Linked DNA regions of Xenopus tropicalis. The protein of the gene in region 3 interacts with the protein of the main gene of each other region in a pairwise test. Links are inferred from orthologs where the notes say so. Each region holds a gene or a part of one and is shown on either strand. Other genes may lie near its edges.

Evidence for each region. The genes of interacting proteins can lie anywhere in the genome.
Region 1: the proteins of tacc1 (region 3) and lsm7 interact in binary tests that used the Homo sapiens proteins (3 or more experiments, as listed by UniProt). The link is inferred for Xenopus tropicalis from reciprocal best matches to the Homo sapiens genes TACC1 and LSM7.
Region 2: the proteins of tacc1 (region 3) and memo1 interact in binary tests that used the Homo sapiens proteins (3 or more experiments, as listed by UniProt). The two-hybrid records come from large-scale screens. The link is inferred for Xenopus tropicalis from reciprocal best matches to the Homo sapiens genes TACC1 and MEMO1.

The regions. Positions count from the first base shown.
Region 1 is NC_030677.2:92,737,379-92,744,175, forward strand, and holds the end of lsm7 (U6 snRNA-associated Sm-like protein LSm7), read right to left. Parts: coding exon 6,738-6,797; intron 4,707-6,737; coding exon 4,635-4,706; intron 1,694-4,634; coding exon 1,551-1,693; 3' UTR 1,351-1,550; downstream 1-1,350. UniProt on the Homo sapiens protein: Plays a role in pre-mRNA splicing as component of the U4/U6-U5 tri-snRNP complex that is involved in spliceosome assembly, and as component of the precatalytic spliceosome (spliceosome B complex).
Region 2 is NC_030681.2:51,202,396-51,208,619, reverse strand, and holds part of memo1 (protein MEMO1), read right to left. Parts: intron 2,077-6,224; coding exon 1,995-2,076; intron 1,034-1,994; coding exon 965-1,033; intron 1-964. UniProt on the Homo sapiens protein: May control cell migration by relaying extracellular chemotactic signals to the microtubule cytoskeleton. Mediator of ERBB2 signaling.
Region 3 is NC_030679.2:132,041,511-132,048,489, forward strand, and holds the start of tacc1 (transforming acidic coiled-coil-containing protein 1), read right to left. Parts: upstream 3,662-6,979; 5' UTR 3,374-3,661; coding exon 3,255-3,373; intron 1-3,254. UniProt on the Homo sapiens protein: Involved in transcription regulation induced by nuclear receptors, including in T3 thyroid hormone and all-trans retinoic acid pathways. Might promote the nuclear localization of the receptors.

The sequences.
Region 1 (6,797 bases), on a different chromosome or scaffold from region 3:
CAGAGGATGTGGAAAACTGTTAGGAGGGTCACTCGCCCCATTGAACTTCAAGGAATAGCCCTGCCAGGCAATGCTTAGACGAATGGTCCAATATCTTAAGAGGCCTATTTATATCCCTAACCTTATAACATGCAAACCATAGCAATTATCTTCTGGAACACCATCTGGGGCATTAATTTAAAATTTAAGGTACTGAGTCACCCATACCTATCAAGCTAGACGGGTCTCCTTGTTGGGCAGGATGTCATACAAATGGTCATAACCTAAGTCTCTTAGCCTTAGTTTGGATTGAGAAGGTGAAACCATCCAGACAAAAGTAAACACTGTATCCATCCCTCATATAGATATGGTGTTTAACTCTATTCAAATTGTCTATTCAAACTGGCTCAAGGGGCGACCAAATTAATGTATTTCATAAGTCTGAAATTGCATGCAGAAGGAATATGCTAATTATTGGGCCACTAGTTACAAAACAGCATCCCCCCAAAACACTCTGGGAAGCCTGTAAGCCTGTGGAGCTTTGATTAATGAAATCGCTATAGGCAACAAAGTGTCCAAAGGAGCTACTGACATAGCCAAATACCTCCTTAGGGAGAAAGAAAATTATAAGCATCAAGAAAACTGAAAACCACCAGGCCTTAAAATCAGGCCTGGAGGAATCTAAATTGGTCCAAATTAACTTAACCAGGAAATAGTTCCTATATTACAATTGGCTTTCGTAAAATGTAATGGCAGTACTGTTACTACAGTCCATTTGCAGCCTTTACTACAAGTGATCCCATTAAGCGGCTAAACACACTAGTAGCAGCTACTTGTCACGGCCACCAAAATAAAACAATGCTGATCATTTACTGAGAACTGTCTCTATGTGTGTTTTAGCAGAGGCAGTTCTCAGTATTGTCTATGGCAGGGTATTTTCTGGTGTTTAGTAGCTGTGACAAGTAGATGCAACTAAGTAGCTTTGTGTGTTTGCACCCTTTATGATTGCTTGAGCTGAAAGGCTTGAGCAATCATAAAAAATGCCCCTACAATTATTAAAAGAGGTGGAATAAATTTGTTGACCTACACAATATATGCGAGTGGTTTGAGCCCCATATATTGAACCCCTGCTCACGTACTGAAGATTTTTCATAAAAGGGGTTAAAAAGGTTATAACATACAGGGCTAGCAAAAAAACATTGCAATAAACAAAAGCACTCTAAAACAAATGGCACAGTGACTGTTGCAAAAAATGAATTGCCAGGTAAGCGGTGCAAAACTATCCGCTGGAGATTCACCACTTTGTAGAACTTCATCTGAAGTCTTCATGGTTGCTCACATAAAAAATAATAGAAATACACACAGAAAAGGTTCCAATGAAATAATCAGTATATTTGAAATATATGGAATACGCTGGCTCTGCTAAAATAGCATCTCTCTGCCTTTAAAAAAAAAAAAAAAAAAAATGTTCTATATAAAATAAACAAAACAAATTCAGTACTCCACAATCTTCAACTTGAAGTTATTCTTTCTAACAAAGAAATATGGGAGAAGAAATTTAATATTGTTCATTAACCCTCTTGTTGTTGAACAAAAGGGTTTGGGATTGCCTCCATGCCATCCTGTGGACAAATCAGCACTACAGATGTTCCTCTGCAGACTACCAGCCCCAGCTGCCGTGTGTCCTCTGTTAATTTATACTGGTCATCTGGATCTAAAGAGAAAAAGACATGTTTTAATAGAACAAGTGACAATTCACAAAAGTTCTAAAAACTTCAACTTAAACCATTTCTAAAACATACAAGGTACAGCAAATTAACAAGCCGAAAATGTAAAATAAACGTTATATACTTTAACCATAATGGCTTTCTGAACAGGTACAGAGGGTGGCTGTTAATGGTACATTCTCTACTTGGAGTAAGGTTCTTAGTGTGGTCCCACAGGGTTCTGTGTTGGGTCCACTATTATTTAACTTGTTCATTAATGACTTAGGAGAAGGTATTATAAGTGATGTATCAGTGTTTGCAGATGACACAAAATTCTGCAGCCCAATTAATTCTATCCAGGATCCTTGCAGCAGGATTGTGACAAACTGGGGGGCTCAGTGGCAGAGAGATTCAATGTTGATAAATTCAAAGTCCTGCACCTGGGATGCAAAAATATGCATTAATTGAATTGCACTACACAAATCCATAATGGAAAAGGACCTTTAAGTCCTTGTAGGTAATAACTTGGCTGTGGCAAGCAAGGGCAAACAAGGTTTTGAGCTGTATTAAAAGGGACATAGAATTGTGAGAGGAAGGGGTTATTCTTCTGCTTTACAAAGCGCTGGTAAGGCCCTAATAGAAGTTTTGGTCTCCATTGCTCAAATGGGACATTATTATGTTAGAGAGGACCCAGAGAAGGGCAACGTAGCTGGTAAAGGATATGGATAGACGTAGTTATGAAGACTAGCCAGGTTGGGATGGTTTACCCTGGAAAATAGGCACTTCAGGGGTCATATAATCTCTCGAACGTTTTATTCACCAGTAGGTTCTTCCAACTAACACAAGGGCACCCATTCCAATTAGAAAAAAGTAGGTTCCGTCTAGATACTCTGAAAGGGTTTTTTTTGTTCTTTAACCGAGAGCTGTGAAGTTGTGTAATTCACTCCCTGAATTAGTCGCACTGACTGAGAGATAGCTTCAAGAAGGGGTTGGTTGGCATTTTAGCAAGTAAGGGAATACAATGGTCTGATTGCCTTCTTGGAACCAGGAAGGATTTTTTCCCCCTCCGCAGCAAATGAAAAGCTTCAAAAGGTTTATTTTGCTTTCCTCTGGATCAACTAGCAGTTAGGCAGGTTACATATAGGCATATAAAGTTAAACTTGATGGACTGGTGTCTTTTTAACCTAATTTACTATATTAAATACTACAGGTATTGGATCTATTATACCTTAAGTCTGCCAAAAAAAATTGAAACACAAAATAAACAAAATAGGATTGTTTTGCCACTTGAAGCCTTTAATTATTCGACAAGAAATCCCTTACCTGTTCCAATTATAAAGACTGAATTATGCAGTAACAGAACACCCACAATCCATAGATGGAAGGAGTGGTGGGGTAAAATTTAAAAAAATAATTGGAAAGGTCAAGTTTAGGCTATGATTTAAATGGAAAACCATACCCACAAAATAAATACTTAAACAGTTTATATCAGTTAGGGCATATTCTAGTTTAGCAAGATTCTTTAATAGGTCACTTTTACCTTGAGCCACAATTTTGTGATGGGCTGTGGGCTCCCATAGAGATTACATGAACAGAAATAATGCAGCTCTATCTGAAACATGAAGAAGTCACAGTTCTGTCCATTGATTGGCTAATGTAACCTAGTATGCACGTGTGCTTTGGTATGTGTGCAACATGAATCCTATGATCCCAAGAGGCGGCCCTTCATTTTTAAAATGGCAGGTTTCATGCAACATATTTTAGAGAGACCTACGGTGTTTTGCAGAATAGATTTCCTTTAATATGCATATTTTGACATATTGTTTCATGTCAGCACATTTTAAATTAAAAGACTAAACTAGAAAGGGAAGTTTGAGAACAAACTTCATGTTGGGTTGAAAAACATGAAGTCACTGAATGGGCTCTGCCCACTTTCTCTAACCTTGGATCACAGTTATACAATAAAAACCACTGTGCAAAGTTTGGGGACCCTGGCTTAATAGTGTCTGAATGGCAGCAACTTAAATTTCCCCACTGAAAGTCAACGAGTGACATCTGATTGGCGGTTGGTGGCTCCACCCCCTTTTTCTAACCTGGAACTGCAGCTACCCAGTGACTAACTCTGCAAAGTTTAGTTTAGGATTAATAGTTAAAGAACGGCAGCAGTTAAAGTTTAAACCAATAAAAGTCAATAGGTGAATTGTGATTGGTGGTTGGTGACCCCGCCCCCTTTTTCTAACCTTGAGTCGAAGTCACTCAGTGACAAAGAGTGGGCACTGTGGCATAAATAGTGTGAGAATGACAGCATTTTAAATTTAAACCAATAAAACTCAAAGGATGAAATCTGATTGGCCGTTAGTGGCCCAACCCACTTTTCCTATTTTTAAACTGCAGTCCCCCAGTGACCAACTTTGCAAATTTTGGGGACTCTGGCATAAAAATTGTGAGACTGACAGCATTTTACACTTCACAGTTGAAAGTAAATAGGTGAAATGTTATTGGCTGTTGGTGGCTCCGCCCACTTTTTTTCTGAACAGCAAGGTTGAATTTCCACCAAGTCAATAGGTAAAATCTGATTGGCTGTTCACAGCTCCGCCCACTTTTGGGCATTCAGCAATCATTGGGGTGTTCGGAGGGGCGCCACAAAAAGACGGGGGGCGGGAACGCATAAAAAAAGCACAAGCAACCTGCTCTGCTATAGGGCGAAGAAGTGTGGAGAGTTTGGTTGTTGTACCCCTAAAACTGTAAGAGGAGTAGCGTTTAGAAAATGGGGGGCGCTAAAAAGAAGAAGAAGTGGAAGAATAAGCCAAAGTCGAAGAACAGTATGTTGGGGTTTTCAACCCAACACAATTATTCCATGTGCCGCCTCCAGTCAAATAGCAAAACAATGCATACAAATTTGAAGTGCATCCTATGTATATGAAAGCTTTATGAATTTTTAGTACTTACCTCTCATATATTCTATTGTGCCATCCAGTACAAGATTCAGCAGTGGATCAAATCCTTTCAGTACTCCGCTTGCTTTAATCAGGTGAAGAATAAAAACAAGGGGAAAAAAGTATTTAAAAAGAGAAGCCCAAATAGTTCTGCACCCCAAGCTTATGTAAATGTTTTCAGCTTTGCCTATATCCGTTAAAATGGAAGATGATTCTCAGGAAAATGTCATTTTAGCTGGTGTATTACAGGGCGAGATTTAACATCTTGTATGGTTGAAACCTACTAAAGACTTTACAGATATTGCAAAAGTAGTTTATGAATTCCAAAAAGATGCTTTTCAAACTGCTTCCACAGTCTTACACTAGAATGAACTCAGTTATGTCAGCCTTACCTAGCACTACTTCCTCCACAAATGTTGTAAACAATTTTAGTGGCAGCAAATTAGGCAACTGCATTAAATTGGCTGGATCCTTCATTCTACTTACTCAATTGCTCTATTTTATTTATATACAAAGTTCCTGCTAGCACTGCTGGACAATAATTTTGAGAACCAGAATAAAAGGTGTTCCCCTTAAAATAAGAATCACTCCCTTTACATTTCCCTATGCATTGGCTATACATTAAGATTTTTTATTTGAATAAAAATATTTAAAATGAAAAATGCACTTGGTTTATTAAAATTACCTAGAGCTGGAGGAGGATCCACACATACATTTTAAGCCCTACACACACAACAAATTGTGGCGCACACAAAAAAAGTATGTGAACACACTGGGGCAGATTTATCAAAGTCTGAATGGGTACGATTACAAAAAATTTGTATTTTTTCTAATTTATAGAACTTTGTGTATTTTCCACAATATTTTTGTTAATTTCCGCAACTTTTTTGTGCTTTGAATAAATTTGTGAGACAAAATCGAAATTATCGCAACGACTACAAAAGTTTTGAAATTCATTCAAGCTGCAGAGTGCCATTGAGTCCTGTGGGAGGCTTCCAAAATCATGCATTGAAGGTTCAAAGTCAGAAAGTTTTTTGCGCCGGATTGTTTCGTTCGGATACGAAAATTTCGTAACTTTTGGATTGTACCATTTATTTAGATGAAGGTTTACTGAAGATGAAGCAGGGTTTTAAAAAATCCTGGAAGACTGATAAAAGATGGCGGCACTTACAGGGAATGTACTCCAGGCTGGAGGAGCACTGGCTTGGGTTTGAAAGTTAGTAATTATACTTACTAGGAGTGGGTGCCTAATATGTGAGAAACTTGCCAACCAATGGCAGTGTATGGCAGGCTACCAGGGGAAGCAATGCACAAAAGTAAAAAGAGTGAGGGTGGTTGGGGAAGGAACATCAGCCCTGCTGCCTAAGGAGGAAGCAACCCCTGCAGCACCTCTCTCCATTTTCTATTGCACAAAATAAAGGATAGTATCTTTTGCTGCAAAGAAATGCACAGATGAAAAAATGTAGGTCTTTACCTTAGAAGACCTAAAGTTGAAAAATCAGAGACAAGTCAGGAACATCCAGCTGCATTAATTAAAATGCAATCACTTTGCAAATAAACAGCCCTAACAATTTGGATTTATTAAAAATGTGCATATTTTTCATGTGATCTGATAACAATAGTGGGAATTTACAAAACTGGAGCAATTAGCAGTTAGAAAGGTTTCATTTAGACATAAAAGGTTGAATATGTTCTGAATATGTTCCAACCTAAGTTACTAACTTATCTCTGAAATTGTAGCACACAGCAACTATTCTGGAAGTAATTCAAGTACTTAAGCTACAGCATAACTGCCACGTCTTGCATACTGTAGCATACTGTATACAGACAAAATGTAGATTGCAGGTTTGATTTTCCTGTTGAATCAAGGACTACATCTGTGATTGCTGTAGTCCTAGTTACTTGCCTGCATAGAGACAATTTTGATACAATCAGCCCAATTTTGCCCACCTTAAGGTCCATATCAGTGAAAGACACACTCATTCAGCGACCTTGTCAAACAAGTGAATCTTATAACGTATGGCAAAGCTTTAGTAGCAGTACTTTGTAGTAATAATTGTTTTAAGAATGCATGGCAAAGTAGAATTCTTTAGAAATTCACATTTAGAAAGCATACCTTCTCTTCCACCCTGAAACTTTACTCGAATTGCCTTGTCTATGTATTTGGAGAGGTCTA
Region 2 (6,224 bases), on a different chromosome or scaffold from region 3:
GTTTTGTTGTTGTATGTGGTGTGCACCCACTGGACTACTTTATATATCTATATAATTAAAATGAGAAAAAACTCTCTACCAGTTCACTTCAGTTTAACCTTGCAAGTCTGCGTATCTTGCTCAGCAAAAATGGAGCAGTAAAATACACACACAACTGAAGAAAATGGCAACCTAACCTTCCTGTGGACAGATGGAATTGGACACAAAATAAAATTAGCTTGAAGTTAAAAACACACCAGCCATGTTCTGTGTCTAAGACGTGCAGAACTCCTGCTGTGCGAAACGCGAGATCTGCCAAAAAGCTAAATACTACCTGCTGTGCTTCTTTTTGTTTAGTGTTTGTTTTTATGTGTTTCCTGTTCTAGTGAAGGTTATGATGCAGCACTTTTATTTTAGAACATGTCTGTGTGCTGTATATTATTTTATTTATTTGTATGGTAACTCTTTATACAAAGTATGAATGTAGATACCTCTTATATTACAGCAGCGTTAAAATGCACACCATGAAAATCGTGGGCATAAGGGGTTTGCTGGTGTACGCAATGGGAATCCAGACAATTTTATCACTGTTAGGCTGTTGCTAAACTGTAGCGTTCACAGTGCCACGGTGACTCTACCAAATAAATAATTGCTCGGTATGGGATCCATTATCTGGAAACCAGTTATCCGGAAAGCTCCAAATTACAGAAAAGCAATCTCCCAGAGAGTGTATTTTAATCAAATAATTCACATTTTTAAAAATGATTTTCATTTTCTCTGTAATGATAAAACAGTACCTTGTAATTGATCCCAGCTAAGATATAATTAATCCTTACTGGAGGCAAAATATTCCTATTGGGTTTAATTAAAGACCCCTTATGTGAAAAACCCCAGGTCCCATGCATTCTGGATAACAGGTACCATACCTGTATTAGTTTATCAATGACCTATTATATTAAATTATCTTAAGATACAATATACTTACGTGACTGAAGGGTCTACTTGTTTATAGGCATGAGCAGCACATGACCCGCAATAAGTGTATCCTGCATGACTGCAATTTAAAATAATAATACATTTACAAAATGATGACCCATATCCAAACAAAAAAAGTAATATAATATGCTGGCTCTTTGTCCTTTAGACCAATGTCATCAGTTACTGCAGTTAATTTTAAAATAATCACAAAACATCTAATACGGTGAAACAGACTTACAACGAATGAATTAAAAGCAAGGGCCGTGCACTCATATAAAACTAATTGGAATTATTAATAAAACAAGTAGATACATTTATTAAGGTTAACTGTTGGAAATAAAAATATGATATGCATATAAAAAAAATGTGCTAAATGACACATTCACTTAAAAACCAGGATGGGCAGACTGAGGCCCTCGAGATGTGACTGAACTCCAGCTCCCAGTTGTCCACCAGAACAGTCAGTCCATATAAAACACAGACACTTCTGCTCTATATTCTAATGTTAAGGCTGAGAAACCCTCTCATGTGGCATTCAACTAAACTGACATAATATGTGCATTATTAAAACACTCAATATAAGCCATATCACAGAAGTTTTCATTAAAAGGGGTGGTTTACCTTAAAGTAAACTTTTTAGAATGTTATAGAATGTCCTATTCCTAGCAGCTGTGCAACTGGTCACTGACCCTGTCAGCCAAAATATCTATTGCTTTGTGAGGGATCAATTATACTTTTATTGGTACTTTTTATTACTTATCTTCCTATTCAAGCCTCTCCTTTGAATTTTCCAGTCCCTCATTCAAACCACTGCTTACCCTAGCAACCAGACAGCTGCTAAAAAATAACACCGGAGAACTGCAAAAATTCTAAATGTTTAAAAAAAAAAAAAAAAAATGAAGATCAAATGCAAATTGCCTTAGAATATTAATGTCTACATCATAGTATAAGTTAATTTAAAGGTGGACTACTCGTTTAACGGTTAGAGGGGACTTTAAAATACGGCAACTGGAAAATAATTAGCTGTTATAACTTACGGGGCAATGATGGCTCTTGCAGGTCTCTTTGAGGTTTGTGCTTGTGATAGCCAGCCGTCTAGTTGTGCACTCAACTGGGATCCTGCAAGAAAACCCCAGATAAAAGAACATTACAAAGGCAATGAATATCAAGCATTGCTATTAATGTGCCTTAATCCTGGATACCTTAAAACTAAATGTATTTTACATTGTTGACAAAGAATACACAAGAGATTTACTATACACATTTTCATTGCTTTCCACAAATACTAATTGCATTAGGGAGCAATACATATGTATACAAAGACCTTCTTGACCTCCTCTGGTGAAGCACCGAATGGTGCGAAACGCGTTAGGAGAGTGGGCACCATGAGGCACTTGGATGTACCTTTCCATTGTTTGGTATAGCATGTTTGCTTTTTGAATTGTTTGTTTAAATTTTGAGCCAATAAATGGTTGTTTATTTCACTGAATAACTTGTTGACTAAAAAGACCTTCAACCAATGGTTTCATAATCACAAACTGTAAACTTACCGTTTAAACTTTACAATTATATGAACATAATCGATTGTAAGCAAATAGACTGTATGTTTAAAACTTCTAAACTTAAGCATATATTTATTTATTTTCACATTTATTATAACTATACGTGTTTGTATTTAGGCATTGCCAGATATACCAAAGCAGATATACTCCATTCAGTTGCTGAACTACCATGACAGTGGTTCCTTCAGCTACAAAATATGTAACGTTGGGAAAAATAAAGGATTCTGAAAGTGCCAGACTATATAAACTGCTACACAGACTATTGTTCCATATGCTCACAATACCCTTATCGGTTTCTTATGTAAGCTGTGTGGACTTATGATGCTCATGTTCGGCTAAAACATGCCCAAAAGTTCTAAGTAGCAAATTTTTCTGGTAAATGATGCCAGAAAACACAAGTGGGTTATAGAGCTCATTTACTTTATCTGAAATTATTTTAGTTGAAAACGATAGCATTTAGCTATATGCACAACTTCTGACTGACATCCAGATGTCTGGTTACCCTGCAGTTAAAACTAAAGCTACATTGGTATGCACTTATAAAAGCTAGACTGTAACCTACCAAATTTCATGCTTAATAAAAAAAAAACATCAAAATAATTTTCCAGGTATTTATAGTATTTAAGCTTGGATAAAAATATTTCCATGTTATTGTAGAATGGCTGCCTGAGTTGGCAAAAGAGGAGCATAATGATGGCTTCAGCAGAAGGTTTCAAATATCTATCCTAAATTCAGCTACTGGTGCTAAAGGCTTTTTCTTTAGCTTTGCTGCATATAAAGCTTTTTGATCACATTAAGTGCAACAAAAAACACTTCAGAGATCTTTTAACAGGTGACAATTGCATGAAAATAGGCAGATTAAAGCTGACCATACAGGATTTGACCCTCTTCAGGCCAAGTCAGCAGCTTATTTGCCCGAGTATAGGCTTAAAAAATTCTGTAGGGACAAGAACCGCATTGGCTCTTTGATCTGGTCTCAACAGCCAGCACTGGCCTTTGTCGTGATCCAGCACAAAGGTGAACCCTGTAGGCTCAATCCTTGCCAACCCAGTCTTGCTCCCCACCAGGAACTATCTGTGGGTGCTCACGGACACACTCTTCCTCCTTGAAATTGTGCCTCTGACCTCTGAAGGCACACTTTATATCTTTTTTAATTAGGATTGTGAATGATCAAAGGGAGAAAGAAAAGCATCACACACATATTATATATACAGGTATAAGATCCCTTATCCGGAAACCCGTTATCCAGAAAGTTCTGAATTACGGAAAGACCATCGCCCATAGACTCCATTATAAGCAAATAATTCCAATTTTTAAAAATTATTTTCTTTTTCTCTGTACTAATAAAACAGTACCTTGTACTTGATCCCAACTAAGATATAATAAATCCTTATTGGAGGCAAAACAAGCCTCTTGGGTTTATTCAATTTTTAAATAATTTTTAGCAGACTTAAGTAACGGAGATCCAAATTACAGAAAGATCCCTTATCTGGAAAACCCCAGGTCCCATACCTGTATATGCAAAATTTACCAACCTAATACACCACTGAACACCAAACCGCAAGGCTACATATGGCTGGTGATTTTTTTGCACTTGAAATGTGTGTTCAAGGTGCACTGCATTCAAGTGTACTTTTAAAGTAATCATAAAATAACACTGTTTTTCGTGTGGCGAAGCCTGGCAATGTATGGCAAATTTTGGTGCCATCTTTTAACTAAACATAATATATAGGCCCCATAGTCTTTATGCCTCCAAGTCAGAAATTCAAAAATGCTTTGAGGCCACTGGGAGCAACATTTGGTGAGCAACATGTTGCTTCTAAGCCACTGGTTGGGGATCACTGCCCTTAATATATAAGATAATATGTATTCCCCTGTATTAAGCACAATTATGCTGGTCAAACTGAATGTAGAGTGGACATTTAAACATTAGGCTAATTTCAGATGAGGCATCGCTTGCCGAAAATATCGCCATCCGCCTCCTACCTGTGTCTGCACCCGAATTAATGAGATACGCTGGGGTGCAGGCACATGTAGCCGAAATACACATAAAAACGCGAGAGAATGCAAAGTCTTGCGTTTTTATGCGGATAACGGCTACATATACCTGCACCCCAGCGTATCTCATTCATTCCGGTGCAGGCACAGGTAGGGGACATATTGTGCGGATGGCGATATTTTCGGCAAGTGTTTTTCCGCTTGCTGAAAATATACGCCATACGCTCGGTGTGGCATTAGCCTTACTGAACCAAAAACTGCAATCAATTCACTGGTAAACATATATTGTTGACTGCAAACAGGAGTGTGCATGTGCAAGATGTAAACGCTAAAAAACAAGTTGGATTCATGCAATTTACATACGATCAAGTATAAATTACTGTTTTATTATTAGAGAAAAAGGCAATCATTTTTAAAATTAGAATTATTTGCTTATAATGGAGTCTTTGGGAGATGGCCTTTCTGCAATTTGGATATTTCTGGAAAACAGATCCTTTGTACCCTATTCTTTAATTCAGGTGCAACTGGCATATTGGTACACAGTGAAGTAGTACAAGGAAGTGCAAGTATTTTGCTGAATAGCATTTTGACTGTCGCAGTGCTGATCCCAGCTCAGCACCTTGCGACCATAATTAAGCCCTATAATGTTAAAATACTATGCTCGGGCTGGTAATTTATAATGTATAGTGTGTTACTATGCAAAACATAGACATCATAAATTCATAATACTGCCCATAAATATATTTGGGTAAAAGTAGATTTGTCACCTGCAAGAACTTGAAGATACCTTAGCATTGGTGTCAGTGCGAATCCCCAGCGGCAAAACTTATGAATCGGGTAACTGCTGGAAAAGGTCATTTTCAGTGGATGCACAATTTATATGTTTTACCACTGATGATTCACACTGACACCAATGCTAAGATATTTCAGATGATTTGTCACTGGCAGGCAAGATATCTTTCCTTGGTCCATCACCCATATTTGCAATACTGGCAAATGAGGCAGCTTAACAGCAGCACATAGCAGTCTCATAGTCCTCCTTCACTGGTGCACCTGGTAAAATTAAAAAAAAAATAAAAAAAAAAAATAAGAAGACTATATATAATGCCCCTTTAAATTATAGCTTTTTTTCCCAATGGTTTGGATTTCTTTTTTTTTGTTCTGACCAGGAACATATGCATGGAGTTTGTATGTCATGCCCGTGTCTGATTGCTCCAGATGAAAATGGCCTAGTGTGTGCCTGAATGTCATAGAGAAATGTGACTGTAAGCGTTGCAGGAGCAGGGACTCATCAAAGTGATAAATAATCTCTCTGCCGCATATACAGTGCTGTATAAAAGATAATAATAATTACTAACAGTTCGTATTCTCCGACAAGTAGAAAAACACAAGTCGATCAGTATGTGGGTGGGTAATTTTGGCAAAGCCACCTGTGCTGCCGTGTTATTTCTGGGCAGGTTTGAATACCTGTCTATATTTCTATCTACCTCTATATATTTACATACATACGTATATGAATACCTGTCTATACACAGGGTTCTATAGTAAGAACATGATTGTTTTTCAAAGACAACAGGTTAGAGCAAATGAAGTAGCTGACGGATAGTTAGCACTGACACACCCAATTCTCTTCTCCTAAACACATCTCCTTTGTATTCTTATCTAGGAGGGATCAAATCCAATCTGCATCTTTGCAAGTCATTATTT
Region 3 (6,979 bases):
CTGGGGCTACAGTGCGCATTCCTCCTCCTCCGTGAGAAGCTTAATCCTAACCCTCATAAATATTTATCTTATGTTTTTATGCAGAAGTGAAATATTTGGCATCCCTGTGCTGTTGTTAGCTGGCTGAGGAGGAACTGGAAGTTCTGCCCAAGCACTGCCTTGTTGTGTAATAAATTAGCCTTACAGGGGGAAGCCAGGAGCCACTTACAGAATGGCTATACAGAAAGTGATGGAAAGGCGATTTATATGCCCCTAAGAAATATACCTTAATACCATTATTCTTATTAGCTTATTAAAAAGGCACTGTGTTAGAAAGAAGGCTGACTTTAAAGGGAAAGTTCGATTTACATTTATTTACCAACAGTTACTATTAGCTGTAGGCCCGTATATTCACCTGGGCAAGTGCCCCTTGCTAGTGATGCACATATGCACAGAGGGTGGCACTGGATTTTATTTGGCTCCATGGGTGGGGGCCACCCACTTTGCTCTTCCCTACCTGATAGTGCCAATATCTGCCACTGGCAATGGGTCTGACTACATGTGAAAGGGAATCCGTTGGGAATGTAAGCACAGTAAGTCTCCATGAGAGGCTCACAGTAGTCAAACGGCATATGCCCTAGGCCCACAGTCACCGTTTATTCACGACTTATTCCTCTACCCAGGCCCTCATATACCATATATCTTCCACTCCACTGGTCCAGATTGGGTACCAACAGGCACAGGTTGGGCCAGGGACTGAATAGCACAGGATGGACCAGGCACTGGCTAGCAGGGCCACCATCAGAAACTTTGGGACCCAGCGCAAGTTATTTATATAGGGCCCCGCAGGAACACACAATTTTTTTTGAAGCCCAACATTTTTGCCGTTTTGGGAAACTTTTGAAAGGTTTGCAAATTTTTTTGGTGAAGCGAAACAGGACAGATTCATTCAGTCAGTACATTGGGGGCAGTGAAATTTACTTTATGTTGTTAATTAACTGGGGGTCAGTGCAGCTTCTCTGCATTGTCTTTCATTTGATACACAGGTTAGGTTTCAGGGCAAGTTTCTTGGCAGTCTTTGCCAAAGTTACACAAGTTTTGGCGTAACTTTACGTTTTTGCAGTAATTATGCAAGTTTTGATGTAACTTTATACGTAACTTGCGCACTGTGACCAGGCCCCCACACAATTGTACCCCCTTTCCCACCCTGATGGTGGCCCTGCTGGGAAGCAGGGGCTGAGCCAGAAACTGGTTAGTAGTAGAGGAAGGACTGGGTACCAACTGGCATAGGCTGAGCCAAGGAATGTCTGAGACGCAGAACAGAATGGACGGGATTCTGACAGCCTTAAACCTGACTGTATGTATTAATATAAGATACAAGTCCAATACCCTTGGATTACAATAATTTCTACTGCAATTGGGGCCCAGCCTTCTTGCCCCCACCACCTCTGCCTCTATCCCATCCATCTGCCCTTTGCCCTCGCCACTGACAAGTGATCCTGTGGCATCAAAGAACTGCATGGGGTTTATATTGAGCCCCCCATAACTCATGTCCAGGCAGGTCACTGCTAAGCCTATGGCAGGCACTGATAGGGTTACTGGATCATGTGGCACATCTAGAAAATCCAGCTAGCAGGGTTGCACTTATTAAAATATAATTTAAATGCAATCAGAGCAGCCATAAAACATGAATGTATTAGACAGGTCACTGAATTTTCAATTGATCCGGTAACTCCACATCAGCTCCAGTTACTGCACCATCTACCATTATTCATTTACTAACCAAGTGCATCCAATCAGCTTGAAAATGTCTTTTACATGTTGGATAAAGGAAAGCAAGTATCAGATTGGTTGCTATGGGCAACTGCTCTGGTGCAATTTAGCACCTGTAAATCAGCCCTTTCATCTGACACTTTTAAGATGCCGATATTTCCACAGTGCTGACAATCAAAGTTCTCAGTGGGGAGGGGCCATGTGTTTCTGGCGAATCAGGTAATGTAAAAGGGATGTTATTTGTTTAGGAAGTGAAACCCACAACTGCACTGACTGTTGTTACTCCCCAATGAGGCGTTAGCTGCCAGCGACATTTCCTGCTGCCTGTACAGCATGTGTCATTCAGTGCTGAGTGTAGAGACTTGGCACCACTATACAGAGCAGCCTGGTCATTATCAGCGTATAGAGATACTCAGCATCATTATACAGAGCAGCCTGGTCATTATCAGCGTATAGAGATACTCAGCATCATTATACAGAGTAGCCTGGTCATTATCAGCGTATAGAGATACTCAGCATCATTATACAGAGTAGCCTGGTCATTATCAGTGTATAGAGATACTCAGCATCATTATACAGAGCAGCCTGGTCATTATCAGTGTATAGAGATACTCAGCATCATTATACAGAGCAGCCTGGTCATTATCAGTGTATAGAGATACTCAGCATCATTATACAGCACAGCCTGGTCATTATCAGTGTATAGAGATACTCAGCATCATTATACAGAGCAGCCTGGTCATTATCAGCGTATAGAGATACTCAGCATCATTATACAGAGTAGCCTGGTCATTATCAGCGTATAGAGATACTCAGCATAATTATACAAAGCAGCCTGGTCATTATCAGTGTATAGAGATACTCAGCATCATTATACAGCACAGCTTGGTCATTATCAGCGTATAGAGATACTCAGCATCATTATACAGAGCAGCCTGGTCATTATCAGTGTATAGAGATACTCAGATCATTATACAGAGCAGCCTGGTCATTATCAGCGTATAGAGATACTCAGCATCATTATACAGAGCAGCCTGGTCATTATCAGCATATAGAGATACTCATCATCATTATACAGAGCAGCCTGGTCATTATCAGTGTATAGAGATACTCAGCATCATTATACAGAGCAGCCTGGTCATTATCAGCGTATAGAGATACTCAGCATCATTATACAGAGCAGCCTGGTCATTATCAGCGTATAGAGATACTCAGCATCATTATACAGAGCAGCCTGGTCAGTATTACTATACAGCCCAGCCTGTTTATCACCATTATATAGAGATATATGACTATACATTGCAGCATGATGGCTGAAAATGAAGGCATAATAAGAGATCCACCTGTGGCTTAGTACTACTGTATAACTACAGTTCCCAGAAGCCCCTGTTAGCCCTATGCAGCACCAGGCGGTTATGTATCAGCTGATTGAGATGCGCAGCGCTAGCTCCATAGCCAGTCAGTAACTGGGCACCCACCCTGGCACTGCCCATTGCACTCACCCAGACTCCTGGGACGGGTCCTCCTCTCCCTCCGGCCCCCCTCCGCCTCCCCGTACCGCGGACCAGGTCCACTTTGCCCACTGCACCGGTGACAGCACTTGCCAGGGGCTGAACGACATCGCTGCAGTGGTTTGACCCAGAAAACTTCTGTCTCACCGGATAACCAGTCCCCCCTCCTGTGTGGATGGCACAGCCCGGGCCAAGGTAACCTAGGTAACCCAGAATCCCACCCGGTGCCGCTCACATCTGGAAGCTACCGGCCCTTCGATCCTACCGGGCTGCAGCCAGTGCCCGAATGTGCCTGCAGGGCCGGGAATCAGCTGTGTGTATCCAAGCGCTCCCCCTGCCGGTCATACTGCGTCACTGCACCGAGCGATCAAAGCCCACGCCGCAGCTGTAGCGCTCATGAGTCACAACTGAGCGGCCCCCCGGCAACAGCAGCAGGTTGGTAGCTTCCGCGCATTACAGCCCTGCTGCCTGGGGGCGCTACAATGGTGGGCTCTACATGCTGCCTAAGCAATGGCTCACTGCTAACGCGGTGCATGATGGTGCCCAGGACATGGGGCAGCCAGTGCAGCAATGCCAACTTATTGTTATGGTGCCCAGTCACCAGGTGGCAGCTAACCCCTGGGGCACATTGGGACTCCACAACCTGCCTCAGAAACCAGCAATTCATTTTGATGCATGCTGCAGGCTACACTTCTGCCTGCACAGCCATGCCATTAACTGTCTAAATGATTTGCTAATTAGACTGGGATCTGCTCTCCTTTAGTTTAAAGGGGAAGGTTTGTACCCCAGAGTGGAACCACACCTTGCCTTCAGATCTCTGCTCCATCTGGTATATTAGCATTTGGCAACAGCTGAAGGCTCTCAGGGGATGCTGGGAGTTGCTGTGCAGTGTACTTAGTGCCAGTGCCCCACCCATGCTCATGTTTGTGGGGTGCCCTGACAGCCAGCTATCAGCTGAGTCCCCCCTCCCCTTCAAACAGACTCTGCCACTGCAGAGAGGAGGGTTCCACAACCCCCCCCACACACACACACACACATACATACGCACACACACAAACACACACATCAAAGTGAACAAGTTTGTGCTCTCCTCCCCTCTTGGCTGGGATAGTTCAGCGGCAGCAACACAGAGAACAAACAAGGAGGAGAGTGAGTGCAGGAGGAACAAAGGGATCTCCTGGCTGTGCAGCTGCCCATGGGCCCCCCCCCCCCAGGCTTCCTGCTAACCAGCTGCACTCACCCCACTTCCACTTTTTGTGTATTGTTTGGGCATTTAACCCTTTCTGCTCTGGATTCATTATGGGGAACTTGTTGCAGCTACAAGGAGTCACACACAAAAAAATTGGCCTGGTCTATGGCTAAAGGTGGCCATACACGTAAAGATCCACTCGCCTGGCAAGGTCGCCAAGCGAGCGGATCTTCTCCCGATATCCCCACCTACGGGTGGGCAATATTGGGTGAATTCAGGCCAAATTTTTTAACCTGCCTGTCAAGAACACGCATGACACTGCCCTATCGATATCTGGCCGATTTCAGGCCAGATGTTGGTCGGGTAGGCCTGTCGTTTGTGCCCCTACACAGGCCGATAAGCTGCTGAATCGGTTCTAAGGGACCTATATCAGAAGCTACAATCGGCCTGTGTATGGGGACCTTAAGCAGTGCCCAAGTATGTGCCATAAAGGTGTAAGTATAGAGGGAACAGACCCTGCAAGTGCTCAGGGACCCAGAAGCCATATAGGGGCTCAGTGGGGCACTGACTGATAAGCAGATTTAATAAATGTCTATGCCAGATGTATTATTCCCAAAGCATAGGGGGCCTTAAATGAATTTACCCATACCCATAACTTCTGCCTGTGCCACTGGGTGAGCCTTTCCCATGTGTGCTTCGAGGCAAGAGAAAGCATGGAGTCTGTCTCGGGGCGACACTTTCCCACCCAGTGCCAGGGAGAATGCCCAACATCACTATGTGCCAAAGCCATATGAGCTGCAGGGATGTGCCTGGTCTTATCCATTAGTGCCCCCTATCAGAGGGGGTGGTCTGTTCCGCTTGGTTGTGTCACTAAGGGACCTGAGCAGGGAAGCTGCAAGAGCATAAAGGGAAAATGGGGATTATCTCCTTTTTGAGTAAAGAATGGCCATAGAGCTTATAGTGTGCCCACAGCATTCCCTTTCTTCCTTATTTGCATTTGTATGTGACTGGGGGATGCCATGCTGGTTGCCCCTGCGGAGACATTCTCGGTCGACAACCATAGCAAAAGTTCTTTATGAGCCTGTGGGACCTTGTTGTTATTGAATTCTATAGAAAATAACTGAATAGCCAAAACAGCCCATTCCCTTGAATGTCCTGCCTAAAGCCAATGCCACACGTAGCGTATTCTTGGCAAGCCGACAACCTCTTGGTGAGAAAACTCCAAGGTAGATGTACCTATATTTTACTCGGGGGGGGGTTTAAGCAGGTGGCCCCTGAGGGGTGTGAGGGCCCCAGGGTGGGACCCCCGGTGGGCCCTGCACCCCCCAGTGCAACCCTGCAATCATACATACTATGCCACAATTACTCTCCCTCTCACTGCCTATTTATTATGCTGTGTAAGATTAATTCGCCCAAAAATCGGTGCAAAAAGCTGTGTAAAATAAATGGATTATTCCAAACGCCAAGTTTTACACCATTATTTTACGGAAGTTCCGGCAGAAGAAAAAACACCTAAAAAAATTACACCTTTGTTTACATGATAAAGCTTGGCCATGTTGCCATTTTTTTGCCATTTTTTTACACAGTATAATAAATCCCCCCTTAATCTCTATCCCTAGGGCCCCAGTTACTGATCTCCCAACACCTGCAGAGCCTATGAGAGCAGCGATGTTCCACACAAGTCTGTGCAGCAGTCAGGCAGGCAGGGGGGGCCATAAAGGAATTCTTGGAGAGGAGATGCAGCCCCCAGGCCCCCAGTTGGACGGCCCAGTACTGAACGCTTCCCTGTATGAGAACAACATGTTTGTCATCACTCAGCCCCTGTGAGGGAGGAAATAAACACATCCTGTCAGTGGGAGATGGTTCCGGTGATATTATGCTGCAGCCTACACCGGGGAGCCAACCTGCTATGGAACAGGGGTGTACGGCATACTCTGACAGTAAAAGGTAGTTTGGGGGGGCTTGTGGGAGTTGTAGTTCAATAGAAGCCAGAGGGTTGCTGTTTGGACATCCCTGACCCACACTATGTACAATAATTAGCAAAACGATTAGGGTGTTAAAGGGAAAGTATTCCCAATTATAGGTATGTATTATAGCAAACAAGAGCTCACCCCAAACCTTACCCTAAGTGACCCACAGGCTGGATTTCCAGAAGGATCTACAGGATCAAATGGGCATTCTACCCAGATCTCACTCTTAGGGGTGTATTTATAAACGCCAGTGATGTTGCCCATAGCAACCAATCAGATCTTTGCTCTTGTTTTATAATTTGTAGGTGAGTGTTCAATTTTAATTGCTGATTGGTTGCTATGGGCAACATCGCTGGTGATGTTGACTTACACACTATAATGAATATGCCCCTTATTGTATTAAAGCTGGCCATACACATGGCGATCCTACGATGTTTCGTACGACCATCGGTCGCACGAAACATCGTAAGATCCGCCACACACCATTCAGGGCTGAATCGGCAGGTAAGGAGGTAGAAACAATAGGATTTCTACCTCCTTCTGCCGATTCAGCTCTG